Diceros bicornis minor: one gene and its partners. The protein of the gene in region 2 interacts with the protein of the main gene of each other region in a biochemical or structural test. Links are inferred from orthologs where the notes say so. Each region holds a gene or a part of one and is shown on either strand. Other genes may lie near its edges.

Evidence for each region.
Region 1: the proteins of ACTA1 (region 2) and GSN are reported together in a solved structure, tested with the Homo sapiens proteins (3 studies listed by BioGRID and IntAct). The link is inferred for Diceros bicornis minor from reciprocal best matches to the Homo sapiens genes ACTA1 and GSN.
Region 3: the proteins of ACTA1 (region 2) and GC are reported together in a solved structure, tested with the Homo sapiens proteins (2 studies listed by BioGRID and IntAct). The link is inferred for Diceros bicornis minor from reciprocal best matches to the Homo sapiens genes ACTA1 and GC.

What each region holds. Positions count from the first base shown.
Region 1 is NC_080767.1:28,448,553-28,458,899, reverse strand, and holds the start of GSN (gelsolin), read right to left. Parts: upstream 6,924-10,347; 5' UTR 6,909-6,923; coding exon 6,765-6,908; intron 4,677-6,764; coding exon 4,472-4,676; intron 3,772-4,471; coding exon 3,617-3,771; intron 1-3,616. UniProt on the Homo sapiens protein: Calcium-regulated, actin-modulating protein that binds to the plus (or barbed) ends of actin monomers or filaments, preventing monomer exchange (end-blocking or capping).
Region 2 is NC_080745.1:26,368,126-26,378,472, reverse strand, and holds ACTA1 (actin, alpha skeletal muscle), read left to right. Parts: upstream 1-5,450; 5' UTR 5,451-5,547; intron 5,548-6,381; 5' UTR 6,382-6,393; coding exon 6,394-6,522; intron 6,523-6,628; coding exon 6,629-6,953; intron 6,954-7,210; coding exon 7,211-7,372; intron 7,373-7,465; coding exon 7,466-7,657; intron 7,658-7,784; coding exon 7,785-7,966; intron 7,967-8,050; coding exon 8,051-8,194; 3' UTR 8,195-8,447; downstream 8,448-10,347. UniProt on the Homo sapiens protein: Actins are highly conserved proteins that are involved in various types of cell motility and are ubiquitously expressed in all eukaryotic cells.
Region 3 is NC_080747.1:58,067,498-58,077,844, reverse strand, and holds the start of GC (vitamin D-binding protein), read left to right. Parts: upstream 1-3,777; coding exon 3,778-3,835; intron 3,836-10,347. UniProt on the Homo sapiens protein: Involved in vitamin D transport and storage, scavenging of extracellular G-actin, enhancement of the chemotactic activity of C5 alpha for neutrophils in inflammation and macrophage activation.

The sequences.
Region 1 (10,347 bases), on a different chromosome or scaffold from region 2:
ATGACCATAGAGGCTGCCACTCGCTGAGCCCGTGCCAGGGCCTGGAACACCTGCTTTATGGACGGGGTCCTCACAACAAACCCCAAGGTAGGGACTCTTATTACCCCACTTCACAGGTGGAAACTGAGGTGCAAAGAGGGTAAGCCCCGTGCCCAGGGTCCCAGCTAGTTGGTGGCAGTGCCGGGTGTCACCCTTCCAGGGACCCGGCCTCGCCCAAGTCTGCCAGCCCAGGAACTCCGGCATGTCTGTGGGCAGCCCCAACCCAGGACTTCATTCCGCTGAAGGCAAAGAGACAGTGGATCCGAAAAGCTTTTCCAAAAGGTGCTGGAAGACACAGTGACTGTTTCCATGGTTTCCTCAGAGACGAGGAAATGGGTGGAGAGATGGGGAGAGAGAAAGACCCTTCACTTTTTTTTTAATATGTCTCTAAACTATTTTACTTGTTCAAGCATGCCTTTTATTTGTTACTAAAAAGTAGAAACAATTTTTTAAAGGAAAAGGGTCGTTTTATGTCATAAATCTTGGTTCTGATAAATTCTCTGTATATAAATTTATAAAATACTTGATTTCTAATGATTGTGGATGTGCATTTCCTGATTGATTAACTCCTCTAATCTTACCAATCTAGGAAATTAGACTTGGCAAGATAAGTTAACAAAAAAAGAAAAACAAGCCTTTAGAAGACGTTAATGGATCTATAAGCACAGCGGGCAGGAATTTTTTGAAATTCTTACTATTTTTACTATAATATTTAAGATTGATTGTTGCTTTCTATGGTCTAATCACTAGGTGGGCAGAGATTGGCATCAAATTATTTGAACAAAATTGCATAGGATAAATTGTTTTAAAAGCCACTTTCCAAATTAAAGTGATGAGATATATATATACATATCATATATATAGATAGTTCTATTTCAGTATACGAATATACATATCTATATGTTCATATCTAGAAAGAAAAATCATCCATCATTTGGTATATACCTCCAAGAGTAGAATCATGGGAGACTTTTACTCTCTAAAATCTGTATTTCTATAATGTTTGACATTTTACAATAAGCTTGTATTACTCTTGTAGTCAGAAGATGGAAAAAAAGCTACAAGGATTTACATTTTAAAAAATGTTAAATTGTTTATAAAACAAAGAAAAACATACTGATTGGGGCTGGTCCCCTCCACCCTCTAAACTCAGTGTTCCTTAGCTAAGAAAAGGAAGTGATTCTGTAGGTTTCCCATTGTGTTCCTCGGGCCAGGGGCTACTAGGACTCAGCCCAGCCCGGATTCTGTTTGAACAAAGGGTTTCAAATAACCAGGCCCCACAGGGTCTTAGGGTTCTATGTGAGAGTGGAGGAGAAGGAGGGGAGGAAGGATGAGGAGAAGGAGATGGAGGAGAAAGGTTCTGAAAAGTGCAGTGACTTTTCAGGAAATCCTTAGGACAAGCGTTGCAGAACAAGACAGGTCAGGCCCTGTGACAGCCCTTTCCAGTGGCTCCCATCCCCTCCCTGCCCCTTCTCACACCCCGAGGACAGAACTGGCTCCAAGGAGCAGGCTTTCACAGAAACAAGTCTTGCGTAACAAACTCTGCTCCTTGGGGATGTATAATTGATGAGGGCGCCAGGCCAAGAACCTTGGGCTGGGCCTGCCAAGTGCGGGGGCAGCCGGAGGACTTGCAGAAGGTGGAAAACAGGGCCGGCCTTGGACCTCACATTTCCACCAGGAGCCAGGGCCTGTCCGGACTCAAGTCTCAAATCCAGGCCGGGTTGGAAACCAACCCCCTGGAGCATGCTTCAAAGTGTGGTCCAAAAACATCCTGGAAAAATCATCACAGGGTAGGGCAGGCTTGCTAAACATGCAGATTCCTAGGCCCCATCTGGGCGAAGATCAGAGACCAGGGAGTCTTGCAATGTCCACTCTGAACCAGCAGTGTTAGGCCCTTCACACCGGGGTTTGAATCCCAGCTCCGTCATCTACCCGCTGTGTAACTGCTTCACCTGTCCACAAGAGAGGTTGCTGCTGTCCACACAGCAGCGACAATAACAGGCCTTGTTCCTACAGGGGCTCCATAAATGTCTGCTGAATGAATAGCGAATGGGGAATACGTGAGAGCCCACACCCAGAAGACACGACTGGCCCGGGGCCTCACAGCTGTCAGGGGCGGGGGGAGCCTTGAGACCTGAACCTCAATCTCTCTGACTCCTGGTCAAGTGTTCTTTCCACTTCCTGCTCCAGGAGCTGCAAAAAGGTCTGGTCCTTCTCCAGGTGAGGGGCTTGGGTCCCAACCTTCTCACCTCTCCCTCTTCAAAGTACCAAGGCCCCGGAAGAGGCTGTAGGAAGAATGTAGAGCTGGACAGCTCAGCAGGGGGAGCTCCGGGCCCTGGGGGGAACTGGCAGGCAGGGGGCACTGTGCAGGCTCCAGGGAATCCGGCCCAGCTCCGCCCGGCCCAGGGCTGAGGCCCTGTTCCCACGACACACCCTGCCCTTTGCTATCTCAGTCTCGCTAGTGCTTTCCCATTGTCTAATCCCCTGTGCCTCACCTGGGCAGAGTCACTATCCTGTTGACGCAGAGAACCCTGAGGCCCCCAGTGAGGGGTGATGACTTCTCTAAGGACACACAGCACATCAGCGGCACAGAGGGGAGTTGACCCCTACCATAGAACCTGCTCCTGAGAGGCAAGTTGGTGTAGTGGAAAGAAAGCTGAGAGTCAGATCTGTGTTCTGGTCCTGGCTCTGGGACTGACTTCTGTGTGATGCTGGGCCAGCTGCTTAACCTCTCTGTGCCTCAGTTTCCCCTCCATCCCTTAAAATAAGAGATTTGGACTCTGACATTGAGGCCCATCTGGCTATCAAAGCTTATGATCCCCTCCCTATCCTGACCAAAGAGAATCCTAGCTTTGCAAAACTACAACTTTCCCCGAGCTCCTCCAAGGTGCCAAGTCCTGTGCAAGGCATTTCCCAGCTACCCCTTCACCAAATCCTCTCCCCAGGCCTGAAGGGCAGGTACAACTGGCTCTCATTAACCAGAGAGGAGGGAGGCTCAGGGAGGCCAAGTGGCTTGCCAGAAGTCACACAGGATATTAGGGCACAGCCTCTCCGGGCTCCTAGCTTAGCTTTGCTCAGCCCCAACCGGCTGCGGGCTGAGGGGAGAGCTCTGTGTCGGCTCAGACTCTTTAGAGTTCAAGTTCAAGGGGGATTCTAATGAACGGAAAGAGGAATGTGATCAAGGGTGCCTTTTCAAATACCTAACACGGGCCCTGTGTTGGCAGGGCCTAAGAACTAAGGGGGGAGGAACAGGGCTAGCTCAAGCCCCGGGCAAGCAAGGGGCTGGGTTTCCACCCACGGCCCACTCCTTGCTGCTGGGGCTAGGATGACAACCCAGCGAAGTGATGGAGAATTTTCTTCTCTCCATTTTAAGATAAGCAACCAGAGGCTCAGAGAGGGAGTGTGATTTGTCCAAGGTCACACAGCTAGGAAGGGTCCAGGATTCAAACCCAGATCCAGCCAACTCCAGAGGCTGAGCTCTGAGCTGTGTGCCCACATCACCCCACAAGGCTGAAAGATGGGTGGACCTGAGTGAGCCCTGCCATTGGTGCCTTTGTCCCCACCGTCCAGGACCCACCTTGTACTTGAGGCCAGACTTGAAGTAGCCGAGGAAGGTGGCCGACTCGAAGCCCTGGACCTCGCGGTGCTGTACAGCCCGACCGTTCAGGTAGTCATCCAGCTGCACGGTGAAGATGGCCGCCGCCCCACTCTCGTCCTGGCTGCACTCATTGCCTATAGGGGACGTCAGAGCAGCATGAGCCTGGCTTCCTGAAAGTGGTCCCAGCCTCCCACGGAGGAGGAGTCCAGAGCCCCCAGCACTGCCCTGGCCTGGCGGTGGAAGCCAGGCAAGCCCCTGCCTTCCATAAACCTCAGCCAATCTGTATAACGGGGGAGCTGGGGAGCTGGACTCCACGGTCTCCAAGAGTCCTCCAGCTCTGACTCATCCCCCACACTCACTCTCAGCCTGGGAGCACAGGCTCTATTCACAGATTAGGAAACTGAGGCACAGTGAGGGGGCATGACTTACAGAGTCACACAGCAGACCCGTGGCAAGGATTCCAGGCTCCTGACTCTGAATGGGAAACTGGGGTGTGTCTGGAGCTGGGTCAGGGAAGCTATGGGGGAGTCTAGGGTCCCCAAGTCACCTCCAGTTCTGAGGGCCATAGTAATGGGCTTAACCTTCACGACACTCCTGTGAGGGAGGTGGCGCTATCACCATGTCCACTTCACAGAGGCACTGAGTGACTTGCCAAAGGGCAGAGCTGGGTCTGAACTCGGGCAGGCTGGCTCTAGAGTCTGGGGACACGTAACCGCTAGCCAACGGCCTGGCGCGTACTTGATGCTCAATAGTCAGCGCCCATGGGTGCTTCCTGGGAACCACGCCTCAGAGGTCCGTGCTTTCCGGGGGAGGGCGCTGGGCGGGGCGGCTCACCCAGCCAGTAGTGCAGGTCGTACTGCAGGTTCCCATTCCTCAGCTGCACCGTCTTCAGGATGACATAGGCGTCGCCTGTGAAGAAGTCTCCGTAAAGGTTGGGGGGCACGGGCACCAGGTCGAACTTCTCCACACGCCAGATCTGCAGGCCGGGCTCCTTCCCTGCCTTGAGGAACTCGGGGTGTTCCACCACCATGCTGCTGGGCTGGAAGAGACAGGGCAGAGCCTGAGCGGGGCAGGAGCCTTGGCGGAGAGACCCCGGGGCACGAGGGAGGGGGGTTTCCAGCACCAAGAGCATCTCACTTGAGCCTCTGACTCTCCCCACCCCCTAGGTGAGTCTCCCCACTTCTATGACCCCTGTCTCCATGAGTGAGCAAACAGGGCAGAGTGTAGGCTAAAACCCTGTCCCCAGCCAGCGTCTGTCTCTCCTACTCAGCTCCCGGTGATGGAGGGACAGAGAGCTCTACCTCCCTTCTCCTTTCCCTTCTTAGTACCAATTGGATAGTACAGCTATGGCACAGAGAGCTGAAGTGACTCTGCCAAGGACCCCTGCTAGGAAACGGCATAGGAGGAATTGCCCCAGGCTCTAAGAGCCTGAGATCTGGGACCATAGGGAGACCCCCTCAGATGGAAATGGTAAGTTGGGGTCCCCAAGGGCTCAGCGTATTCCCTTCCAGCATCCTCAGTGGCTCTTAGAACTAGAAGGGTCCTCAGAAATCTCATTATCCAAACCCATTCTGCAGATAGGGAAATTGAGGCCCAGAGAGGGGAGGAAACTAACCCAAGGTCACACAGCTTGTTTGCTTTTGTTCTTGGAAGTGGGACGATATCTCATGCCCCATCCATGTCCCCATCACACCCCCCAGAAGGGCCTAGATGACTAAGCCCAAGTGGCCTCCTGCGCTGTCTGCCTCCTCCCTCCTGCCCCCCAACACCCCACCCCCAAATTCCATTTCTTGGAAAAGGCGGAGAGGACACAGCCAGGGTCTGCAGGAGCCTGTTGGAGATGAGGTGGCCAAGGATGGGGAAAGGCCTTCAGACATGCACTCGGGCTAGAGGGCTAGAGACGGAGCAGAGTGGGATGGTTAGCCTGGAGCCAGAGGGCAGAAATCAGCAGGCGCAGGTCACCTCGGGCCGGAGGACAAATCTGGTGGGAGAAGTCAGAGAAACCAGATGGGAAGAAGAATTCAGGCAGAGGGTGGAGAAAACAAAAGGGAAGCAGGAGAGAGGAGGAGAAACCAGACAGGGCAGAGGAGATATTGTTACCGCACAAAATTGAGGTTCTCTTGCCCAATGTGCATTAAAAAACCCAATTAATTATGGCAACAGCTTTTGGGGGAGAAATCAGCTTTATTCTGCAAGATCGATCTGCAGGGAGATGAGGAGTGTGCCCTCGGATCTGTATGTCCCATTCAGGATTTGGGGTTACATTTAAGAGGTTACGGAGAACAGGCTGGCAGGTGGAAACGATAGCAGGATAGGTTTTGATTGGTGGGCTTCAAGCCTTTATGACAGGGTTCTAAACATTTATGATGAGGTGGGGAAGGAATTTTAACACCAGATCTTCCTGAATGAGGGACCCCCGGCTTCTGATAAGAGGCCCACTTTTTAATCCTAGTCATGTCCCGGTCCTTGGGTTCTGGAGGAGCATCTTTGGTTCTGTGGTTATTTCAGGTCACAATTTCTTCTTCTGCACATGCTCTGGCTACCAGACTTTGCAAATTTTCTGAAAGGCAATTACTCTGTTGATAAGATAACTAATCACTCTGTTGACACGAGAGGGGGTCAGTTGAACCGGTCCTGGAGGGCAGGCGGTTACAATATCAGAGAGGGGAGAGTCAATAATAGTTGTGAAGATAAGCAGGCAGAGGGGAGATCATAAAAGAAAGAGGCAGAAAATATTGGAGACTGAGAGAGAAATCAGATGAGAAAGGAATCTGAAATGGAAGAAGAGATCAGAAGAGGGAAGGAGAGACATCAGGCAGAGGGAAGGAGAAATGAGACAAGGAAAAGGAGAAATCAGGCGGCAGGGATGGGTAAGAAATCAGAGGCAGCGACGAGGGAAAAGAAATCCGGCCAAGGTAAGGTTAGCCTCCAGGGAGGGAAACAGCCAGGGCCCCGAGGCTCCCACCCCCATCCACGGGAGCCCCGGAAGCAGCAAGAGATACTTACAAAGCAACAAAACAGTTTTTCCATTCTAGACCTGAATTACTCCCCTTTTCCTAGTGCTGTATCTGCAAGAACTTACAATAGAGAGTTACTCCGGGAGCCCCCGGGCCCCCCGGGCACTCACCCGCGTCGGGGACGCCCGTCCCTGGGGCGCCCGTGCCTGGGCCGCCCTCCGCGACGCGGTGGCCGCGCGGGCCGGCGGCGACAGCGCGCACAGCGCCAGGACCAGCGCGCCGAGCAGCGCGGGCGCGGAGCGGTGCGGAGCCATGGCGGCGACGGCGGCAGAAGACCCGGTCGGCACCCCCTGCCTCCGGGTCGCCGGCCTTAAGTAGCCGCCCGACCATCCCGCCCAAGCTGGGGACCGCCCCGCAGGGAGGGCGTGGGACAGGGCTGGGCCCCCGCGGGCCTCGGAGGGGCGGGGATCTGGCTTGGATTTTGGAGACATCGGGGTTCCCACCCGGGCCGACCCGACTGGGCGCGCCCACTCCTTCACTCCAGCTCTGGGGCGGAGACCAAGCACACGGCCTGGCATACAGCAGGCCCTAACTCAGTGCACACTAAATGGGCGCACGCACGAAAGGCGGGGGGCCCAACTCAGCCTCCTGTGTGACCCACGCAAGTCCCCTCCCCTCTCCGCACTAACACCTCCAGCAAAAAATAACAGGAATTAACATTTATTGAAGACTTGAACACATCATATGAAAGCTGACACATCCTAACATCCTTTACAGAGTACTATGGACAGCCCCATTTTACAGAGGGGAAAACTGAGTGCAGAATGATCAAGCAAGGTGCACACAACAAGGAAATGGTACAGCCAAGATTTGAACCCAGGGGGTCTGAGTGGAACGCCCACCTAGGTAGCATGCGGCTGCCAGCCACTAGGGCAGCAGTGCAAGGGGCTTCCCTTCACTGGGCCGGTCAACAAGAGAGACTCAGAGAGGGGCGGGCAGACCTCTCAACTTCCATCATTGCCCTCAAGACTGCCCTTCTTTCCTTCTTTTTAAAAAACTTTTATTTTTATCAAAACTTAAAGTCACGGATTTGTACAAAGGTGTTCTTTCTCAACCCCACTCACGTCTCCCCAGGGGCAGGCACATCCATCTTCCTCCTTTAGCTGATGATTCCAGGGTTTACCTTCATGTCTTAAATAACAAGCCCTCCTTTGCTTCTTGTAGTTGTTGTTTTGGGGTTTTTTTTTTTTTTTTTCCAGTTTTACATCTTATCTATTGGCTCCCCTTGGAGAAGGCAAGGATTTAAGTCTCTTCCCCCACTCCCAGGCTCCTTTCCCATCACTGGGTTAGGAGAAGTGCTATTCAAACTCACCTAGGTCCACTTCCCACCTCCACCAACCCGTCTCTCCTCCCTCCCACCACTCTGCTGGACCCAACTTCTTTATTTCCAGGTTCTCTTTGCATCTCGGATCTCCCCCTCCCCAACAACTGGTGCAACGACAGGAAAGAGAACCAGGGAGTTGGAGGCCTGGGTTTGATTCCCGCCTCCACTGTGTGTAAGTTACTTTCTTTTTCTATGCCTCAGTCTTCTCATATACTAAATGGGTATATAGTTGCTGAGGATTAAATCAGTCTGCGTGTGTGAAAATGGCCTGGCCTGCAACTAGGTAAATGGAAGATCCCGTCCCCCTTCCCCACAAGCTATAGTTACCTGTCCCAGCTCTTCCTGGAGCCCAGCTTCTATCTAATCAGGGTGAAATTTGCCCTCCACCAATGCAACTTCCTCCCACTTAAGGGGGATTGTGGGTCAGATAAAGGGCTAAGGGAACACAGAGAGGAGACTCTGTCCCTTGAAGGACAGGGAGGAAGAAGACTGAGAAGAAAAGGCATTCTGGGGGGCAGGGGGGCGAGGGAACGGCATGGGCAAAGGGCAAGCAAAAGCAGTGAATAATGAGAGGTCCAGTCTGAAACACAGGCAGCGAGAGGCGATGAGGCTGGAGAGGGTGGCAGGAGTCACAGGAGCCCGTGCACCACCCTGAAGAGTCTGAACTTTATCCCAGCGTCTGTGGGGAGCCACATAGAGATGCCCAAGTTCTCAGTGCTATAAGTCTAGGCCTGGGCCTGCAGAGCCTGCAGTGGGCCGGCTCTGGCCTAAATTCAGAGGGCTCTTGCCTCTCCCTAGGCATGTGGAGGATTATAAAAACCCCACAGTTCTCATGTGCTCTTGATGGAAGCATAAACCGGTTTCACCTCTCCGGATGGCAATTTGACTATCCAAATTTGAAACACACAATGCAGCAACAGTTCCGCGTCCTTCAGTATTACTTACAGAGGAACACAAAAATAATATGTGCAAGGATGTTCACTGAAGCACTGTTTGAAGAAAACTGGAAAGGACTCAATTGTCCTGATTAAATAAATCATGGAGCTGCCGTACAATGGACCACTCTGCAGCTGTGAAAAAGGAATGGGCTAGATTTACTGTGCCGGGCACATAGTAGGCACTCCACGAGCATGGAGAGATCCCCAAGTGCAAAAAGCAAATTCTACAACGACTACAGTGTGGCTCCTCTCCTCTCGTTTATAAGAGTGTCTGTTTTTGCATAGATCCTTAAAGAGTCCAGCAGGGTAAATGACAAACTGTCAAGGCGGTTTGCTTGAAAGGGGTGAAGGGGGAGACATTCACTCTTAAACATTGCCGTGGCTGCCTGAGGCTGGAGTTAAGCGCCCAGATTACTGCAGTCTGCACAAGGGAACATTTTAGGGGATGAAAACATTCTAACACTAGATTATGGTGATGATTACACAGCTGAAAAATCTACTGAAAATCACAGTACTGTATGTTTACAATGGGTGAATTGTTATGGTATGTAAATTATACCTCAATATACTTGCATAACAATTTTAAAAACTTGCTGTAGGGTTTGAAACTATTTACATGTATGTATCCAACGTAGTTGTTATTTATTTATTTTTTTAGTTAATCCCTGATCTAGGAATAATACCCTTAAAAAATACACTTAAAGTGATGCCTGCTCATTAGACAAATGGGAAAATCCAAACAAGTCAGAAGAAAATTTCCGTGTCATCCCAACCCCCCAGAGTGAACCTCAGTCGGCAGCTGGCCCAGCCTGGCAGTCCCTCCTGGAGCAGTGTGGCCCTGACCACACAGTTGGTGATTAACAGAGGGTTGTGTGGTTTGGCCTTGGCCTCAGGGGTCATGGACCACCAGCCCTGGGTCAGTGGCCCCCAGGTTAATGATCACAAAGGCCCTACTGCTTTGCCGGCCACTAGTTCTGGAGCCTGGTCCTCGGCACTGGAGAGCTGGTGAACACGCCCTGCCCCTGTCCTGGGGGAGCCCACAGCCCGGAAACTCTCGCTATAGTGCAGTGATATGCGGAGACTGCAATGGGGGCAACATGGTCTTATGCTGCTCCCTGCCTGGAAGAGAATGTATGAGTTCGGGACAGCAGGGGACTTGGGTGCAAAAGAAAGACCCCTAGGTAGAAAGGAAGAGGCCCCAGTGCTAGGCCTGCCTCTGCCACTGACTTCCTGGGTGACTGTCCCTGTCCGGGCCTCAGAGTCTCCATACGCGAAAGACGGGGTAGGCCCCAATGCTCTGATTTGAGGTCTCATTCCTAGCCCCAGCATCCCCAGATACTGGCTGTGCAACCATATCCAGGACCTACATGTGTCTGAACCTCAGGGTTCCCATCTGTAAAATAGGGGCACTGGACCAGGTCACCTCTACAG
Region 2 (10,347 bases):
ATCTTACTTTGAGGGAGGAGAGGGCTCGCTCTTCTAGCTCTGTCTCCTAGAGTCAGTAGTTATAGCACCAAAATGGGTGAGTTTTTAAAAATTATTTTAACAGTAATAGTGAAATTAAGGCATAAGATTTTGAATAATTTTTTCTTCTAAATTTTAAAAATCTGTTCTACAACAGTCTTTTATCAAAGAATTATTGATTTTTATATAAATTGAGTAATTGATAATGACAAATTATAATTTGTGCTTTAAAGGTGAGCCTGTTTTCTGAGGAAAGAGAAACTACTGATTTGGAAGAGGTTTTTTTCACTCCTGTCTCTGAATGCTGTTCTGAAAGTTGCAGTTTGTGGCTTTCATTAAATCAAATAGTAAGGTTGTGATTTTAATAATGAGTAGCAGCGTTGTGTATTGGAATGTTGTAAGAATTTGTGAATGTGTCAAGGATTAAGGCAGAACTTGAGATACACAGTGAGAGACCTGCTGAAATCCTTAGTGAAGTAAAAGGCTACTGATACCCTCTGTTTTAGGGATTTTGTTTTTGAAGAGAACTTTTAAAAATTGAATTCTGTTCCTTTTTTCCTTTGGGATCTGAATCATAGTTTTCCTGAAGCATCACCCACTGAGCGTGCTGGGGCTATGTAGGAATCAGGGTGTGCGCACACTTCCCCTCTGAGGCAGATGGTCTTCTCCAGTAACTCGAACAGAAGGAAAGCCACTCCGTGGTGACGTTAGACTCGCTCTCACTCTGTTGTGACCCAACACACTTGTATATTTGGAGGCTGATAACTACAGAAATATTAGTGTAGCCCCCTCTACCTCTTCCTGGACATTTTATTCAGAGGATGCCTGAGGAGAGAATAGCTCTACATATTTCTATGTAAAATCCACTCATTAAATACCAAAGCACATTTTAAAAAATCATCTTGTATAATTTTCAAATTAAAAAAATACTGTAGGGCCAGCCTAGTGGCATAGCAGTTAGGTTCATGTGTTCCTCTTTGGTGGCCCAGGGTTTACTGGTTCGGATCCTGGGCGAGGACCTACTTACCGCTTATCAAGCCATGCTGAGGCGGCGTCCCACATAGCAGAACTAGAAGGACCTACAACTAGGGTATACAACTATGTACTGGGGCTTTGGGGAGAAAAAAGAAAAAAAAAAAAGAGGAAGATTGGCAACAGATGTTAGCTCAGGCCCAATCTTCCTCAAAAAAAAAAATACTGTAGAAAATGTGAAACGTACTTTTAAAAAACGTATATGGAAGAAAATAAACCCCTGTAATCCCACCAGCCAGAAATAACTTCAGTTACCATTTTGAAATATATCTTAGAATGTTTTGGACTGTGCATACTATTATATTTTGTAACCTACTTATTTTGATGTGAGATTGTGAATATTTCTATGTATCTTTAATCCAGTGTTTCTCAGCCAGTTTTTCATTATTACTCCTCCTAAGGAGACTTTTTAGACAGTTTTTTCCTAATCACTCCACTCCCCCATCACCGACCCTTGTGAAGTTTAATACCACAGATAATGCTGTGTATCTTTTTATGGACCATGGTCTCTCGAGGCCACAAATCATTGTAATATCTAAGATTTTTTCACCCCCCTCCCCATCAAGAGCCAATTTTTCCCTCTCTTTGAGAATGCATGTGTTCAGTATTCTTTAAGATACCATTTTTTAATGACTGCAGGACACTTCACCATATGGCTGTACCATAATTTATTTAAAAGTTCTCTGTCTTTCCGCCTCTGTCTCACTCTTTTTAACAAACTTAAAACACTTGAGTTAATGGTTTTGGTGGTTAGGTTTTTTGGGGTTTTTTCCATTTTAAATAATACAAGAATAAATCTTTGTACAAAAATCTTTGTGCACTCCAAATACATTTAAAATTACATTGGCTCTTCCTGCTGAGTTAATGATGACGTTGATATGTGTTTAGTGAACAGTTTTAATAATTTTTAATATCCTCTGCTCACCTCTCGTACCTCCTCACCCCTCTCACCTCCTCCAAACACTTAGAAGAAAGATACTGTACCATTTATTGAGTGTTTCTTATGTCTCAAGCATTTACCTAGTTTTAATCTTCAAATCAGTCTTAAGGAGTAGGTGGTATCCTCAGTTGAGAATGCTGAGTCTTTCTGGAATAAGGAGTAGGTGGTATCCTCAGTTGAGAATGCTGAGTCTTTCTGGAAGTGACCTGCCCAAGGTCACATAGCCAGTCAGAGTGGTCAGCATAGCCAGATATGCTTTACTCCAAAGCGCAAGCTTTTCACTAGTTCATTATATCGGGTGTAAGAAGGTAGTGGGGGAGGAGAGAGGACGGATCCAGTAGAGTCATCAGGCCCTGAGAGATGGCCAAGGCAGAGCAAGTCCCCCAGTGAGAAGACCCCCAGCAGAAGATCTAAGCCGTCTTCCTGACTGCCATGGGTTGATGTGACGTTTTCAGATGTGTGGCTTGTGAGAAGGAGTTTGGTTTCTTCCTTTACCCACCTGGTCACTGAAATGTGTCTGACTGAGTGTTGCCAGCCAGCCCCACTCACTATTCTCTTTGAGACTATAGATGATAGTTGCAGAAGCAGCCATGACTTCATTTCAGGATGCCTTTGGCCCTTCATTGGAAAACATCCCTTGAGGATCTGTTATGTTTCCAGAACCATTCCAAGTGTTGGGGAGGATTAAAGGAAGATAGAAAGCAGTCCTTGCCCCGCCCTGCCCACTTATAGTGGAAGGAAAGGGTTGCCCAAGCCTCTGCTCGCCTGCTGGCTGCTCTGGGATCTGGGATGTGTTGTCCAGTTCAGGGAGCCTTGGTTTTCTTATTTTTAAAACAGAAATTAATAGTACCTATCTTATTTACCTCAGGATAGTTAAAAAAATTAATGGGAACAACATGAAAGCATATAAAGTGTTTTTACTAGTTCATGTTTAAATTCATAGGAAATCTGATAGAATACTGAGCAAGACTGGGATACACAGACATATGAGGAGTTGAGAGGACAAGGCTGGAGAGAAGGGAGGTGTGAGCATGCTGGCTGAGTTGAGGCAGGAGGGCCCTGTCAGAGCATCAAGACCTGAGGCTGCACCTGAAAACTTAGAAGCAGGAGCTCTGTGGAGATGCCCTACATGGCTGACCTTTACTCGGTGATGGTTCTCAAAAGGGTATGCAGGCAGTAACCCACTTACTCAGGCGAGAGCAGGGCACTGGTGTGCTCCCCAAAAGTGTACATGTATGGAGAGGGCTTTTCCACCCGCTCGTTCCCTAAGCCAATGAGAATTCACAAGACCAGAATGGGACTGAGCCCGGCCCCGTGGTGACCCAGCAGAGACTATTTAAAGCAGCCCTGACCGTGGGCAGAGAGCAGAGGTCTGGAGGCCATCTCCCTGAGGTTTGCTGCACTAGCAGGTCTCCATTAGTGTGTGAGTGTTTTGTTCATAGCTTTCAAATGTATATTTGACTCTAACATTCTGAGCTTAAAAGGGTTGGTCTGAGCAAGAGTTTTGAAAAATATTCATAACTCCATTCCCCTTTAAGATGTCAACAAATTCTTAAGTCTTCAGTGAATGATAGCATGTTTCCTACCTTCAAGGGCAAAATATAAGCAATTTCCCTTATATTGTACATATAGTGCATTTGCCAAGTGACTTGTTTCTAGTGTCTCCGTTGCCCACTGACACAGAGGACACAAGGTATTAGAAACGAAATGGAGTTGTCATTCATTCACCCATTCTCTAAAATAATTGAAAAAGCTAAAAACAAAACCACAGTAGCTTTTAACTGGCCCTCTGTGCTCACTACATAGGCTTCATACTAACCAAACTCCCTATTTTTTAGCTGACGTGCATCATTTTTAGGAAGAGGTGCCATGATGTGGGCTACAGAGGAGGGTTACATATGCTCTTACATCCCTCAAGAGAACCCACACCTGTCCCAGTTGCTGACTTCCACGGCCAAATGTGAATTGCAGCTATTTTGGGAACATGTAAGCACATCAGAAAAATGAGTGATTCCATTCTGGCTTGCACCACATCAGTGATGTGACATGTTACAGCACGTCACTGAGTTCATCACAGAAAATTGTTTCTCCTCGTGCCTTCTACAGCAAGGTTAGAGCTGTACTTGTCCCCCCAGAAAAGAAAAAAAGTGAGACAGGCACCAACTGGATAACCTCCTCTGACCTCCACTCTGCCTTACCATAAGTGGATCCAAATCCTTCTAGAAAATTTGAAAGGCATATCCCCATCTATCAGTGGTATAAATAGAAGCGCTTCAGCAGGCTCCGGTAGGTGGTGACTCCAAGGTGGACTGGGAAGCAGCCTGGCCTTGGCGAGGCCTCATCCTCTAAATATAAAGATGAGTGTGCGCAGCCTTTGCAGAAGGAAAAGTTGCTCCTCATCTTAGAGAGCAATGTCCTTGTCCTCCTTGTTGGGAGGAAGGACGAGCAAGGCCTCATCCAGTAAGAACACCACCCGTTTCCACCTCTGGGTCGTGGGTTGTGACCCTTGCCTTTCAGCCCCAGGAGAGAGACACTCAGCCCCACCAAGGATGTGGGGGTAGGTGCTCAGCTAGACGCATGGCAATCTGGGACGGCTGGGTCCGAGAGACCACCCCCAAAATTCACTCCATGAATCCCTGAGCGCGCTGCGCGTCACCCAGGCGGACAGCTCCCAGTGCCTTGGCTTTGTGCCCGGCGCTGCCAGAGCCAGTGCGGGAGACCCTCTCCTCCTCCCGGCCACTCCGCCCTTGCCTCCTGCCGCCAGTTGTCCGCCCCGCGACAGCTGCGCGCCCTCCCGCCGCCGGTGGCCCTCTCCTCGGTGGAGGTGGGGGCCGACTTGGTCAGCGCTCGGATACGGGGAGTTCAGGGGTGGGCAGGGAGAAATGAAGTTCACTGGGGAGGTGAGGAGGGTCGCCTTCCCTGCCTGGGACGCAGGCTGTGGCTGCTCCTGTCCTCTCAGGCCCACCACTTGGGCACGGCTTCCTCCTCCCTATGGCCGCAGGTGAGGGTTTGGGGGTCTGAGTAAAAAACTCGAAGAAGGAGTGAAATGTGGGAGGCGCCTGCCGGAGCGCCCAGTGCGCGCAGAGCGGACACGGGTGGAGAGGCCTTTCGGACAGGTGCAGCTCCGGGAGCGCAGGCGCACACACGAACCCACAGGCGCACGCGGTGACCCTTGCTCCACCCCATCCCCTCCAGCGGGCAACTGAGCAGGATCGGGAGGGGCCAACCCGCCCGGGACACACTCCATATACGGCCCGGCCCGCGTTACCTGGGCCCGGGCCAGGCCGCTCCTTCTTTGGTCAGCGCAGGGGACTCGGGCGGGGGCCCAGGCGGCGAACTGGCCAGGGGAGGGGGCTCTAGTGCCCGACAGCCAAATATGGCTCGAGAAGGGGAGCGACATTCCTGCAGGGCGGCGCGGGGGGAGCGCCCGCGGGCTATATAAAACCTGAGCGTGGGGACAAGCGGCCACCGCAGCGGACAGCGCCGAGAGAAACCTCTTCCCTCCGGCGGCGACCAGGGCCTGAGCCAGAAAGCAGCAGGTGTAGCCACCCGCCCAGGTAGAGTGGGAGTGGGGAGGGGACAGGGGGACAGGGCTCCACCTAGGGGAGCCTGGAGAATTCCAGGGTAGAGCCTAACCGACTCACTTGATCAGCCCCAGACCTGCACCCTGCGTGCTGTGCCTCGGTCCCCAGAGCCACACGCACTTTAAAGAGGAGACACTAGAGGATCAGCCTTTGGAAACATCTCCAAATTTATCCCCAGCCACTTTGGGCTGCTCTACCTGGCATTTAGTATGTGCCAGGTAGATTAAATGTTCTGCTTTAGTCGTCCCAAGGGCAATTCCCTCCCAACTGAGCACCAGAGCCACATAGAAGCAAGGGCCGCTACTCCCTGGGCTCAACATCAGCAGAAAGGGTGTGTGTTGTGAGTATGGAATGTCGTGGGGGTCTGGAATAGGCCATTCCTCCCTGGGTGCGGTGCCAGAGCCCTCCCCATGGGCAGCTTCTTCCACCCTCACACTCACCCAGCAAACAGGTATCGCTGTCCTTAACCCTCAGATGAGGCCACCGAGGCGCAGAGAGGGTGGGCGCTAGCATTTGGCTCTTGCAGCTGGTGGCCTGCAGCAAGGCAGAGAGGTCTCAAGGGACAATGTGCGTCTGGGTTCCCGGGGTGTAGAAATTATCAGTGTGGTCTCCACGACCCTGCGCCCCCCTCCCTGGCGCAGCGCAGCCTTGAGCGCAGGCCGGGTCTCTTTGGCGGCTCCCCTGGCCAGATGCGCACGGCTAGGGGCTGAGGGTGTCCATACTTCCCGGGGGAGAGAGGGCGCTCGTGCCGGCGGGGCCTCCTGCGCTGACTCGCCGTGCGCCTCCGCGGCCTTCTTGTCCTTGCAGAAACCAGACACCATGTGTGACGAAGACGAAACCACCGCCCTCGTGTGCGACAATGGCTCCGGCCTGGTGAAAGCCGGCTTCGCCGGCGACGACGCCCCTAGGGCCGTGTTCCCCTCCATCGTGGGTCGCCCTCGTCACCAGGTCAGGCTGCCTCTCAGCGGAGGGAGCCGGTCTGGGGTCCCCGCGTAGCCCAGCCTCGTGCAACTCAGAGCAGCGGTAACGTGTGCATCGTGTCTCCACTCCGCAGGGCGTCATGGTGGGTATGGGTCAGAAAGATTCCTACGTGGGCGACGAGGCTCAGAGCAAGAGAGGTATTCTGACCCTGAAGTACCCCATTGAGCACGGCATCATCACCAACTGGGACGACATGGAGAAGATCTGGCACCACACCTTCTACAACGAGCTCCGCGTGGCCCCCGAGGAGCACCCCACCCTGCTCACCGAAGCTCCCCTCAACCCCAAGGCCAACCGCGAGAAGATGACCCAGATCATGTTTGAGACCTTCAACGTGCCCGCCATGTACGTGGCCATCCAGGCCGTACTGTCCCTCTACGCCTCCGGCCGTACCACTGGTGAGTGCGCGCGGGGCCACATAGCCCAGCCCGCGGCTGCGCCCCTCCCCCAACGCCGCGCCCCAAGCCCGCACCCAACACTTTCCCACCCGCACAGCCAGCACCTAGTGGGGGCCTCGCTCCCACCGGCGGGGCCGGTCTGCTGCGGCCCGCGCCGGGTCAAGGGATGCCCGGAGGCCTCTCTCAGCCTCGCGCGGCGCCGCCAGCCGGCCGAGCCGCTCACTTGCTGCCGCGTCCCTTCCCTACCCCCCGCGCAGGCATCGTGCTGGACTCCGGCGACGGCGTCACCCACAACGTGCCCATCTATGAGGGCTACGCCCTGCCGCACGCCATCATGCGCCTGGACCTGGCCGGCCGCGACCTCACCGACTACCTGATGAAGATCCTCACTGAGCGTGGCTATTCCTTCGTGACCACAGGTGCGCGGCGGCCAGGGCACCCTGGGCGGGCGGGCAGCGCGGGCGGCCCTGGGCCCTGAGTGAGGGCTCCTCTCCCGCCTCTGCCCCCCGCAGCTGAGCGCGAGATCGTGCGCGACATCAAGGAGAAGCTGTGCTACGTGGCCCTGGACTTCGAGAACGAGATGGCGACGGCCGCCTCCTCCTCCTCCCTGGAGAAGAGCTACGAGCTGCCTGATGGACAGGTCATCACCATCGGCAACGAGCGCTTCCGCTGCCCCGAGACGCTCTTCCAGCCCTCCTTCATCGGTGAGCCCCGCCCGCCGGCCTCCCCAAGCCCCCGGGCCGCGCCCGTCCCCGCCTGTGCCCGCCCGTTCCCTGGGGCCCGTCCCCGCCACCGCGCCCGCCTGCTCACGCTGCCCCCTGCGGTCCCCAGGCATGGAGTCGGCGGGCATCCATGAGACCACCTACAACAGCATCATGAAGTGCGACATCGACATCAGGAAGGACCTGTACGCCAACAACGTCATGTCGGGGGGCACCACCATGTACCCGGGGATTGCTGACCGCATGCAGAAGGAGATCACCGCGCTGGCCCCCAGCACCATGAAGATCAAGGTGGGCGGCGGCCCGCGCCCTGCGCCCGCGAGTGGCTCAGGGGTGCGGCCCCCCACCTGACGCGCTGTCCGCACTGTCTTGCAGATCATCGCCCCGCCTGAGCGCAAGTACTCGGTGTGGATCGGCGGCTCCATCCTGGCCTCGCTGTCCACCTTCCAGCAGATGTGGATCACCAAGCAGGAGTACGACGAGGCCGGCCCCTCCATCGTCCACCGCAAATGCTTCTAGACCCCACCCCACAACGGCGCGCGAATTCTCCTCAGGACGAAAATCCGCTCAAGTTGCAGGCGGCTGACCTCGAGCCACCGGGCAGCAACTTTCCAACAACTGTCGCTGCTGCCGCCGCAACCCGACACAGTGTTTATAACGTGTACATACATTAACTTATTTACCTCACTTTGTTATTTTTAAAACAAAGCCCTGTGGAAGGAAATGGAAAACTTGAAGCATTAAACTCTGCCATTCTGTTTTGCTGCGCAAAGTCGTTTGTTGTGTTTACTTGCCGGGGGTGGGGAGCGGGTGGGGGGGACGGGAGGAGGAGGGACCCCATATTCTGACGTCACTTTTCACAATACTCCTAATGCGTGCGCTCCTGACAAGACCGTTAGTTAAATCTTCCCCTGCTCACGGTTTCCCACTCTGGGTCAGATCCATTCCCAAACACTGGCCGGCCCGTCAGTTGTGGCCCGACTTGGCCCTCTGGTGAGCGGTGAGGCGTCCCTCTCCCTCTGTCGGGCCCCAGTCAGCAGCCGGCCCCGGGGCGGCTGCGGGCGGGTGGCCCTGGCGCGGCGCAGCGGCGGGCGCTGACCGTGGTGCTGGGGCCGAGCGCCGCCCGCAGAGCGCATTTCCGCTCCACCCACGGCGGGCGTTTGCTCACTGAATCGGTGATCGCCCCTGAATCTCGAGATCTAACCGAAAGCATTGTGTTCTGCATTTAATGAGCTGGTTTTCATTTGTAAGTGAAGACAATCACTTCTCTTCCCAATTGGGAAGTCCTTTGCTTCGTGGTAGGTGACGGTGGTATGAAGAAGCGCCCCTTCCAGTATGCGGCTGGGGAGGAGCGGCGCCCAGAGGTGGGAGGAGGGCGAGGGAGGGCCGGACGAGCGCCCCAGAAAGAAGGACGCCGCACGCTGGGCGGGGCGGGCACTGAGGGCGCCCGGCAAGGAAGCGTCTGCAGGGAGGGGAGCTGAGACCGGCAGTGGAAGAGAGGAGGAAGCGAGGGAGAAGGAAGAGCCACCCCCCCAAGTTTTAAAGGCACAAATGTATTAACAGAGTTTGAGTTTCTACGGGGGAGCATAATATCTTTTTTTTTAAGTAGCTTATTGTTTCCTAGTCAAGAATCCCAAGAGCAGTAGTTCCTAAATAAAATAGATTCTGACTCCAAGAACAAAGTTTACAAGGAGAATTAACAAATAGCAGTTATATGCCACATACCAGTATGTTTAGTCTCTCCTTTTATGGCCTATTGAAAAGCTTCTGGAATCTTTGAGGCCTCCAAGGTAGGAATACTGCCAAATCCACATATCAACAGAATCAACCATTCAGTAGAATTTAAGGTTTTAATAAAACAAGTATATGATATCATGTCCACTGAAAACCATTGGTTATTGCCCCATCCAGGGTGGGTAACAATTAAAAGTGGATTAAATTCTAGTCTTTCAGAGGAATCCAGGTTTTATTGATAATAATAAACATACACATGCATATCTGAGCAAACACAGCACACACATGCACACAGCCTGAATTATTCAAGTAGCCCACAGCCTGGAAAAATGTCAGAATTAACGTGAGTTAACTAACTGTCATAGGAAACATTTTTTAACCAAAATCCCAAAACACTTCATTAGGATTTCAATTCTCAATACTCCGAATGCGTGTGCTCCTGACAAGACTGTTAGTTAAATCTTCCCCTACTCACGGTTTCCCCCTCTGGGTCAGATCCGTTCCCAAACACTGGCCAGCCGGTCAGTCGTGGCCCAACTTGGCCCTCTGGTGAGTGGTGAGGCGTCCCTCTCCCTCTGTCGGGCCCCAGTCAGCCCGACAGTTAGGGCTGTAAGGAGGTAAGTTAGATCCGTAAGGAGGTAATGACCCAGTTCTCCTGTGATCATAATCAGTAAATGATTCATGATCATTTAGAACTCACAGAAGTTTTCAGTGTAATCTGGTAGTATTTCCTCCTGCACCACCTTTGACACTATTCTTCTACTGAAAACGTGCAAAAATTATGAATTGTGTGGTTTCACTGGAAATGTGCCAAAACTAAAAATTCCCTTCCTTTTCTGACACTTCTCTAAAAAGAAACAAGCATCACACATTTTATTAGTGTTCTGTACCTTTCCTGCTTTCCTATTAGGTTGTGGTTATAGGTATGTTACCTATGT
Region 3 (10,347 bases), on a different chromosome or scaffold from region 2:
AAAAGGGAGATTTAGGGCTGGCCCAGTGGCATAGCGGTTAAGTGTGCCCACTCTGCTGCTGGTGGCCTGGGTTCGGATCCAGGGCGCACACCGACGCACTGCTTGTCAGGCCATGCTGTTGCAGCATCCCACATAAAGTGGAGGAGGATCGGCACAGATGTTAGCTCAGGGCCAGTCGTCCTCAGCAAAAAGAGGAGGATTGGCATGGATATTAGCTCAGGGCTGATCTTCCTCACAAAAAAAAAGGGAAGATTTATTATTAGGATTTGGAATTTCTCATGGGAATCAAGAACAGGGAATGGTTGGGGTATGAGAGTACCCTGCAATCTAGATTATCCTCTGTTTCTGCTCTTTACCTCAACTTCAAGGATATTACTTTAAGCTACTAACATTCATTTCATCAGGTCATTTATCGGGGAAAGATATTGATAATGCACTTTAACAGTATAAAGAGAATTTGAATGAAAATAACACTCTGGAAAATGAAATTGCCACCAACTAATTGTCCCAAGGAACTCAACGGAGATTTCAGAAGCATTTAACTGTTTCTCCAAATTGCTTTCTTTCTTTTTGTTATGTTAAGAGATGCAATCACCAACCACCCTGAACCAGACCAAGCCTCACCACAAGAGCAACGCCTATGACCTTTGCCTCATTTTTAATGCCAAGATCTCCTCTCTGGGAGGAGCTTAGGCCTTACTATCATAACCTTTAGTGTATGGGGAAGCATGTTTTCCAACTGAGGCTGCATAAGCTAATACCCACCATTCCCTTTTGAATATTCAATCCCCATCTGAAATAAGAGGCCCCTGCTGTCCCCAGCTCCCTCAGGGACAACCACAACTTTAGAAATGCTTCCTTGTGGTCTCCTATTTGCTGCAAAAATTTCTACTTTGTGTGATAACTACTTCTGGTCAAGAGTCTGATTTTAACTGGCCAAGAGGCGAACCCACTTTTGGTTCAGTCACAAAATCACTGGAAGAAGGTCATTTCTACTGGAATACTATAATGGAAGAGTTTCTAAGCAGCCTGCAGCAGCACAAAAATCTTAAAGATACTGCTTTGGTAAAGAGTGTAAGATCTAAGAGTTACCAAAAAAAGAGAATGTGATAGGGAAAGAACTAAAGATGAGTTCTGTCTGTCTCACAATTTTGCCTAGAACTAGCCTTGTTTAGGGGAAACCCTACATTTCTTCTGAAGTCAATGGTGAAATAGAGAAAGAGGAGGGAGACTACTTCAAATCAATTCTTCACAGGCAACACAACTCCTGTAAAATTACACCACTTGAGTATTTAATGAATAATTCTTTTTACAAATCTATTTCTGTAATAAATTCCTGAGTTGCTGTAACAGAGAGTGTCAGAAGATTTGACTTGTCCTTTTTCATCCTTTTCCCCCATCTGACTCACTGGAATAGTCATTGCAACACGAGACTTCATATTTAAGCCAATTATGATTATTTCTTCCCAGTTTTAAAATCGTTGTAAGCAATCAACATTTGAAAGATTAAGGAGAGTTACACAAATAAGACTGAGAAAAGGTTCATATATTCAGCTACTAGCATGTGAGTGCCAGTTTTCAGTTAGAAAAAGATAAACTCAGCCAAGAGAATGCACTTGGCAGCTTGTGTAGAGATTTCTCAAGAGCACACCTAAACGAGATGTTGCAATTCTTGCTACATGTGGTTTATCATTAAACAAAAGTGGCAGATGTTGTTGCAAAAGCAGAGATAAAGTTATGTTTTTAAAAAGTGAAAGAACAGGCTAATCTTAAACTCTGTAGCAAAATTAATGGGAAACAAGTGTATCTTAAATGAACTGATCAGAAGATGACTGAAGCACTGTTAAACAAACTATACAAAAGTGCACATGTTGTATTACCTTAAAAATGGAAACTATAATGTGTTAACAGTTATTCTCTGAGTTCTGGATTTCTCAGTTATTTTTAAACTCTTTGGCACTCGTTTAGAGTTTCTTTATTTTCAAATAATTTACAGTAACACTAAAACACATTTTTTAATTAACTCGCAAAGTAAATTAAGAGTTTAGCCAAAGAAAAGGTTTAGAAAATCTGTAGTAGGCAGGAAGTTGATCTTTGAACAGCATTTGGTTGGTCCTTGAACAGCAAGACTGTCTTCCCATACTGCCTCTAGCAATGTTTACAGTATCTTCTACTCTCCTTTACCATGTGGATTTCCATTGGCCTTACAGAGATATCTCTGCTTTGATCTTGCTTAGTTATCTTCTTCCAACTAACGGGACTCTATTTTCTGAACCTAACACCCAACTATTTTTAATATAGATGGAGGATCTGACTAAAAATGTAACTGCCTAGTGTGGTTTGAGACTTTGATGGAATCTTCCCATGCAGTTAGTCCTTAGCAACTAAATGGATATTGGAATTCTAGATCACTTACCTGTTATGGTACTAAACCCAAGATACAGGGCTGGCTTTAAAATTTTCCACTAACCCAAGACAGAGGGCTGGCTTTAAAATTTTCCACTGAGTTCCAGGCCTCATTAGTTCAAAAGACCTTCTCAGATATCATAAATTTGGTGAGCTAGTGGAGAAAGTGGCAATAACTAGAATAAGAGTAATAGCTAACATTAATGCATGTTACCACGTGTTTGATGTTACGGTAAACCAAGCACATGGATTATCTTAAACTCACAGCAAAGGTACTAAGAGTTACCACCACTTTGCATATGAGAGACACAAGGCTTAGAAAGACAAAATTTCCCGAGATTACACAACCAATAAGAGCTGAGTGGGGATTTGATTCCAGAGCCTGTGTACCCAACCCTTACCTGACCCCGTTTCCTGAAAAGAGAGCTACTGCAAGAATCAGGAGCTGAGCCAATTCCAATGATGGAATGAATGTGACTACCTGTGCCTCTCTGGGCAAGTCACAGAATCTATCTGGGGCTTAGCTCTCTCTTCTGTAAAATGAAGATGTTAGATTCCGCGTTCTGCAAGGCCACTGTGAGCTCTCAGGTTATATTATTCTAAAATATACCAGTTGTACGGTATTAGTAGAAAGAACTTTGAGTGAGCTCAAGATTTACCACCAACTTTCATGATTTGGGACAAGTCACTTAACCTCCTCTGTTACTATTTGCCTTACTAAAAGAGTTATTTTTAATACATATGTCAGTGTTTCAAAAAGTACAACATGGCACAAACATAAAGTACTATCCCATCATCTTCAATAAAATTATTTTATAGCATTGAAATTATGGATTTGAGCAATTGTAATAAGTTGGCTTCTCACTTCTTTTTCTCCCCCTTATGACTTAAAAACATCTAGTCTGCAATATTCTAAGGTAACCCTTACTTGTAGTAGGTTTAAACGAAGAGAGAGAGAGAATCTCTAAGTTGTCCATTTATACATGAGAAGGGTAGAGAACGTCCAGAGACATAACCCTATAAAGGGGGTGGGGCGGATGTGCCCACTAATACATTAAATAAGTTTCAGTAAAAAGCAGTATGGAAAAAACATCTATGTGTACCCTGACTCTTGTGCAGTTTGACTCAGTTAATGATTAAAATCGCCTAGATTTTCCACTATGTTTTCCCCAGGGTGTCTATTTGCTTTGATTGACATTATTTTATCTCTTGTGGGCCTAGGATGATTACCCTAGCTTCAGCGTAAAGATTAATAATTGATTAGTCTGTAGTCGGGAATCTTGGTAAAAGGAAATTGGTTACTTTTGGCTGCCATTTTTTACCGGGTAACCTCCAGGAGACGGGGGGTGCTGAAGGACTTGCCAAAGGAAAATGAAGAAGATCCTGGCTGTCCTGCTTGCTGTAGCATTTGTGCATACTCTAGAGAGAGGTAAGACTTCTATGGTGTGACCATTTACAAGAACTCTTACTAGTCTAATTTTCTGTTACCATTTTAAAAGTTATACAAAAAGGTGAAAAACAGAAGAATTGGTGAATATGTTGGGGAGAGAGGGAAGCAAAGAGAGATTAATCTGAGTTCTAATATGCCATATAGTGTTCAACTGGAATAGCTAAAAAAAAAAAATCAAGATAAGATCTCAGGAAAGAAAGAAATTATATAATTTGTCAATTATCCTTCCCTGCTTTTTTGATAACCAAGATATGGAGAGAATGGTTTGAAGTCAGACATTTTGTAATTGTTAAAATATCATGCAAATGGAGGCTGTGAGCCATCACTGAGCATTTTTTTCAGACTTCAAATATTTATTGCCGTTGAGAGCATAATACACCACATCAATGATGCATGGAGTCAACTGAGAGATTTCGTTGATCTTCTTCAAGGAATCCTGTATGCAATGTTCGAAAATGCACTGTAGTTTCTAAAATATCCCACATAAAATAAGAATTTAATAGTTATAAAAGATGACTATTAAGATAATTGAGCTATGTTTTTCATTAAAATTATTCTTCAAATGGTGTCTTTATCTCTGAGCAAGGTTTAAAAACCTTTTTCAATGGCACAAGCTGAAATTCTATGAAGTATACGACTTTATGGAAAGTTCTCGAGTTGCAAAATTCATAGTCAGTTTCAATTTACTTTTCTGGCTAATTCTTTAATGCTTATAAGGGAATCTGCATTCATCCTGCTTTGAAAAATTAATTTTCATGTAGTGCTGTCAGTTAACAGCCTCACCCAAGTCATCCATTAGTATTCATATTCATAATATATTTAACCAGTGGAATAAAACATGTGGATCCCAGAAATTATCAGTTATTAACCATGGCATGAAGACTCCTGACTTTCTTATTCTTTTTACATTCACTTTTCCTTGATCTTACTTTTGCTATTCCAATTATTTTAAATTTTGTCTTATTCACCCATAGATCCTTAAGTAAGCTATGGATCTTAATGTAATACTACAAAGTCTGAGATACATTAGGGTATAAATAAGTAAAATAAATTATGTCCCTTACAAGCCCTCTCAATAGGTCAAGTCCCAAGAAACACTGAACGTTTACTCCATCACCCAAGGTTTCCCTGGGGCAGATCTGAATCTGAAAAATTTTACTGAAACAGGTTCAAATCACGATGGTCACAACACAGAAGGTCCAGTCATAGCTAGTTCTTGGAATTATATGTGGACGCCATAATGTGGGACACGAGTCACCATTTTGGACTGCTGGCTTAGTAAGTGTAAATTGGCTTCACTTCAAAGAATTACAGTGTCCTTTGGAGAATAACAGTATTCTGCAACCTCTATTTCAACGTCCTTCAGCATTCTCTCAGACTCTGATGAAATGGATGCTAAAAGCCTCAAGTCAGCTCCCTTGAAGGTCTGAACTTCGCAATGAACAAATTACACAGGTGCCATAGAGATATACCCTGAGACATAATGTACGTTTGTAAGTAATAAATGTTCAATACTTGGGCACAGTAGTCCTGACCCATCCTCTGTTCTCTAATACCTGAGCATGACCCAAATACGAAGGCTGCGATTTACCTGGAAGCTAGGTGTGCTATCTCCTGGCAGGAGGTTACAAAGTGTACAGATTAAAGAAGTTAAGAGGAGCCTTGGATGGTGGGGGATTGGTTTGGGTTGCAGTTCTCTCTGCCCATTATAGTTCTAGAGGGCTGAACAACCACCCACAGAATTTATCTAGGACACCTTTCCAAAGTGTATTTCACTCAAGACTCATCTTGGAAAAAAGTTTCTGTGGCCAAACACATTTAAGAATTAAGCCATATATTAGTCCTTCTTGGTTGGTTCACAATCAATGCCTTTTGTTGTCCTAAAGGTCGTGAAAAGTCATACAAGAAGGAAACTTTACTTAACCTAGAGTCTCCCAAACATATAGGCTCTTTCCTACAATAGCTATATCCCATGAAAGTATTCTTTGGAAAACCTCAGGTCTAAAATGGATACTGCTGCAGCTCAACATAAACATCCGCTCTAGTCAAGCCATCCTCTCCTTTCAAATGGCACTGGGGGTTCAGTTCATAAGCCCTTGGGTACATCTTGGAAGAGAACACCTTACCTTTAGCTACCCCATGAGAGGCCGAAAGGCTGTGTTTGCCAATTGCCTCCACTTGGCTTCTTTCCTCAGGACTGAAATGGATATGGCACTCATCTAAAATGCATCTTTGCCTCTTCTCAAGAAACATACAAGAAGGCTGCTGACACAGCTACACAATTACCAAGGAAGTAATGCTATAGGAAATAAACCACTGCAGTTTACAAGGGATGTTGGCAAGAACAGGATATTTATTATAAACATTTTCCTTTTTGCTTTAAGCATTTGATTCTAAGCACATATATTTTTATTAAACATGATCTCAAACACCAAGAAGAAAGTAAATCTCCTTTGGATTGGTGGGTGAGCTGTATTTTTCCTTCTCCCACTTGCCTGTCAAAATAGCCCTAGACAATGTGGGTTACCCCATCTCCCAAACCACCACTGAATCACTTCTTCTCTTTTCTACTAGTTGCCCCTTCATCAGTAGCCATGTTAAAAAATAAATAAATAAATAAGAGGTGTCCTAAGTTTGATTCAGGAACATAGTTGTACAGAAATGCCAGAGAGAAATAATTTAGGATAAATAGACATCCTCTCTATTTTCCCAGATATGTCTTTATATCCTCTCTGCAAAACCTACGTAATGGTTATTGAGGAGGTGACATGGGATTTGAGATCTATAGTGAAAAGAAGACAGCTATGTAAAGACCTAGAAGTGTGTTTCCACCTGAAGGAACTCAGGTGCACAAGTCCTGAGCTGGGAACAAGCATGGCCTGATCCAAGTTCCCAAAGCAGCCAGACTAAAAGCATAACAGAGGCTTCGTCGAGAAGGGAAAGGAGGAAGAGCTGCAGTCAGAGAGGCAGATAACCTCATCATCAAAAGCAATGTTAACCTCCCTGGAAATCAGTAACAATGTCACCCTTCCCTGTTGTAAGGTGCAATGACAGGTATGTACTCACTATCACACGTGTGGTGTAAGGATAAGTATACACGCTTTAAAAGGCCATGAGATTAATCTATATAGGAAGGAGAAGAAGAAATCCTTAAAAGGAATTAATTACCTTCTCCCCAGATATCTATGGTCACTTAACTTCTTTATTCTGCCCAGTGCTCCCCTTGTCTCTCCTACTTTCCCCCAGTTCACTCTGCTTCAGCCACACACTCCCGCACTATGTACTCTGCACCTCGAGGGTTTGCACTAGCTCCTCCCTCCTCTTAGAACACTGATCCCCCTATATCCACATGCTCTCTTCCTCACCTACTTCATGTGTCTGCTCCAAGTTCATGCATAGAGAATGCTTTCCTGACCACCTGACCTCAAAGAGCACCTACAACTCCACTTTTCTCTATCCCTTTATTCTGTATTTTTTTCTTTTTAGCACTCCTCACCTTATCACCAGCTATGGTTTATTACAACAAATGTAAAATGTAGAATGTAAGCTCCATGAAATTGAGGACTATATATTTGTTTCTTGCTGTAGTTCCTTTTAGAATACTACTTGCCATATAGTTAAGTGTTAGATAGATCTGTGTAAAATCACAAAATTAGGATTATTATACCTACCTCATAAGGTAGTTCAAGTATTTAAGGAAAATTAAATGCCAACTAGGACGCATAATAGATATCCTGAAAGGAGTAAACTCTGTAAGTCTTTTGCTATTTTTGTTGTAATTATATATTAAGTTTCCACCGTGAAGCATTAGCACTAGATTTTATGCACTGAATAAAATAGCTAATATTTTATTTATAATGTGCCAGCTTGCTTAAAATCTTTTGGATAAATTTATTTCATCCTTACAACACCATGATGAACTCGGTACTATTATCCCAATTTTACAAATGAGGAAAACTGAGAGAAAGAGGGGTTCAGTAACTTATCCAAGGTAACTGAGCTAGTAAGTGGAAGAATCAGAATTTTACATAAATTCATTGGGTTTATAATGACAATGCTCGCAATCACTGCTTTGTGGCCTCTCATGAGAGAGATACCTGACCTACGATCTTTCACTAATACGAGAATGAGTATAAGAGAGAGAGCCAGTCACTATAACACCAATTTAGGCAGAATTAAGTGAAATTCATGCTGCCTACTATGGTCATCCATAACTGATCCAAAGTCCAGTTCATCCCTATTCCATGAAACTGGTTCTGTCTTCTAACTTCCCTGTTTATTTTCCTGGCACCATCACTTCTGAATCATTTATTTTCAATCCTGTAGAGACTTCTTGGATTTTATTTTATTCATTTTTGTTACCTATATTCAATCATTTCCATATTCTATAAGTTTCAGCCTTGTACAGAGCATTCTACTGCAGAAACCTCCTCAGTATCCCCTTTCTCTCTCTCCTTTACCTCCTGCATGTATCTAGTTCCCAAGGCCTGTGAACACTAGCTTTCATATCTTTTCTGTTTCCATTTCCATACACTGTCTTTGTCTGGGCCCTTGTTCCGCTTTACCTGCCTATTGTAATGGCTTCCTTACCAAATCCCTACCTTCCAGCCCTTCCCCAATCAATTCATATTAAAATACAAACTCTGACATAATGCGGTAAGTGGAGTCCAAAAATGAATTACATAAAAATCAAGATCACTATTGAGAGATTAATGAAATGATGGGGTTGAGCATGTGCAGCTAGATTGTAGGATTCCAGGCATAAGGCCGTCTGATACAAATCCACTCCAATTCTGGTCTCTGTTTGGAGTCACCTGATGATGGGTATGACCTCAGGCTTAAATAGTAATGAGCATATGGTAGGCAGAATGAGGACCCTCCCCAAATGTCCACATCCTAATGCCCAGAAATGTGAATAGGTTAGGTTACCTCACAAAGGGGAATTAAGGTTGCAGAGGGAATAAAGTTTGCTAATCAGTTGACTTTAAAAAAGAAAGATAATGTCGGATTATCTGGGGGGGGCCAATGTAATCACAAAGGGCTTTACAGTAGAAGAGGGAAGCAGAAGAGAGTCAGTCAGAGGAAGATGTGACTAAGGAAAAAAGGCTTAGAGAGATGCAAAGTTGCTGGCTTTGAAGATGGAGGAAGGGGACCTGGAGTCAAGAAATGTAGGCCACCTCTTGAAGCTGGAATAGGCAAGGAAATGGATTCTCGCCTAGAGCCTCCAGGAAGAACACAGCCCTGCCAACACCTTGATTTTAGCCCAGGGAGATCTATGTCAGACTACACATTAGAACTCTCAGGTAGTAAATTCCTGTTGGTTAAGCCACCAAATTTGTGGTAATTTGTTACAATATCGATAGAAATTCAATACAGATTTCTGGGTCTTGTGACAAGCTGGGACTTCCAGAAGGAAAGGAGCATTGAGTCAAGACATCTCACTGTTGATTGACCACCATTTGATTGGCCAGATCCCCATTTCCCTGCTTCCTGGGAGTTTTCTATTTTCACCTTCTCTTCCATTTTCCTCTGACCAGAAATTTAGTCTACCACCTCAGATAAGGACTGGAGTAAGTCACATGACATCCATATCACAAGGGTATATAATGTCTGATAATGTACATTATCACCAGATTTTACTATAAAAAGAGTTGCTAACACTCACTGAGTGTTTACCACATGTTAGGCAGGAAATATGCTAAGCATTTTCATATAGATTAACATATTTCATAGAACAGCCTTATGAAGAAGGTACTATTTATCTTAAATCCCAGATTACTCTTCCTTGAATACAGCTATGAGCTGATCATTCCCCTACAAGAATATATTTCAATAGATACACCATTACCTTAAAAAACAAGAAGTAAAACTTTGGCTATCAAGTCCTTCTGTGTTTACATCCCGTACTTCAGTTTCCTTACTGGACGACTCATTATTCTCCAGATATGACTTGTGACTTGCTAAATTCAGGTATGTCTTTATGTTCTCCTTACCACTTAAAATTTCTCTCCCACAATTTATTCACTCTTGTTAAAATCCTCCCTATCATTCATGGTCCCCTTCGAGTAGTTGCTCCTTTCATGAGGCTTTCTAAAAGCCCTCTTCCATTCTAAAGTTTTGCAATGCTTTGCTTCAATCTCTTCTATGGCAATGATTGCTATTGGCCTTGTATACTTAGCTTTACTATCAGATTTCAGTTCCTTAAGTATTGGTGGCTTTAGAGTTTTCTTTTGCATCGTGCCTTACCGCATTATTTATTCATATATTGCTTTAAAAACTGAGCCCTGCAATGCCTTCTAAGTTTACAAGTCAGGATGCAGAAGATATCACCCTCACTCATCCCAAAGGTGGGAGAGGGAAACTTGCTCCCCTGTCTTCACCCCTGCAAAAGTGTTTGCAGATGACAAGGTGCCCAACCTGTGAAGGGAAAGGGAGGTGGAAAGAGATGCATGGAGGGAGAATGTCTCCTCTGGGACTTGGGCAAGTGTAGC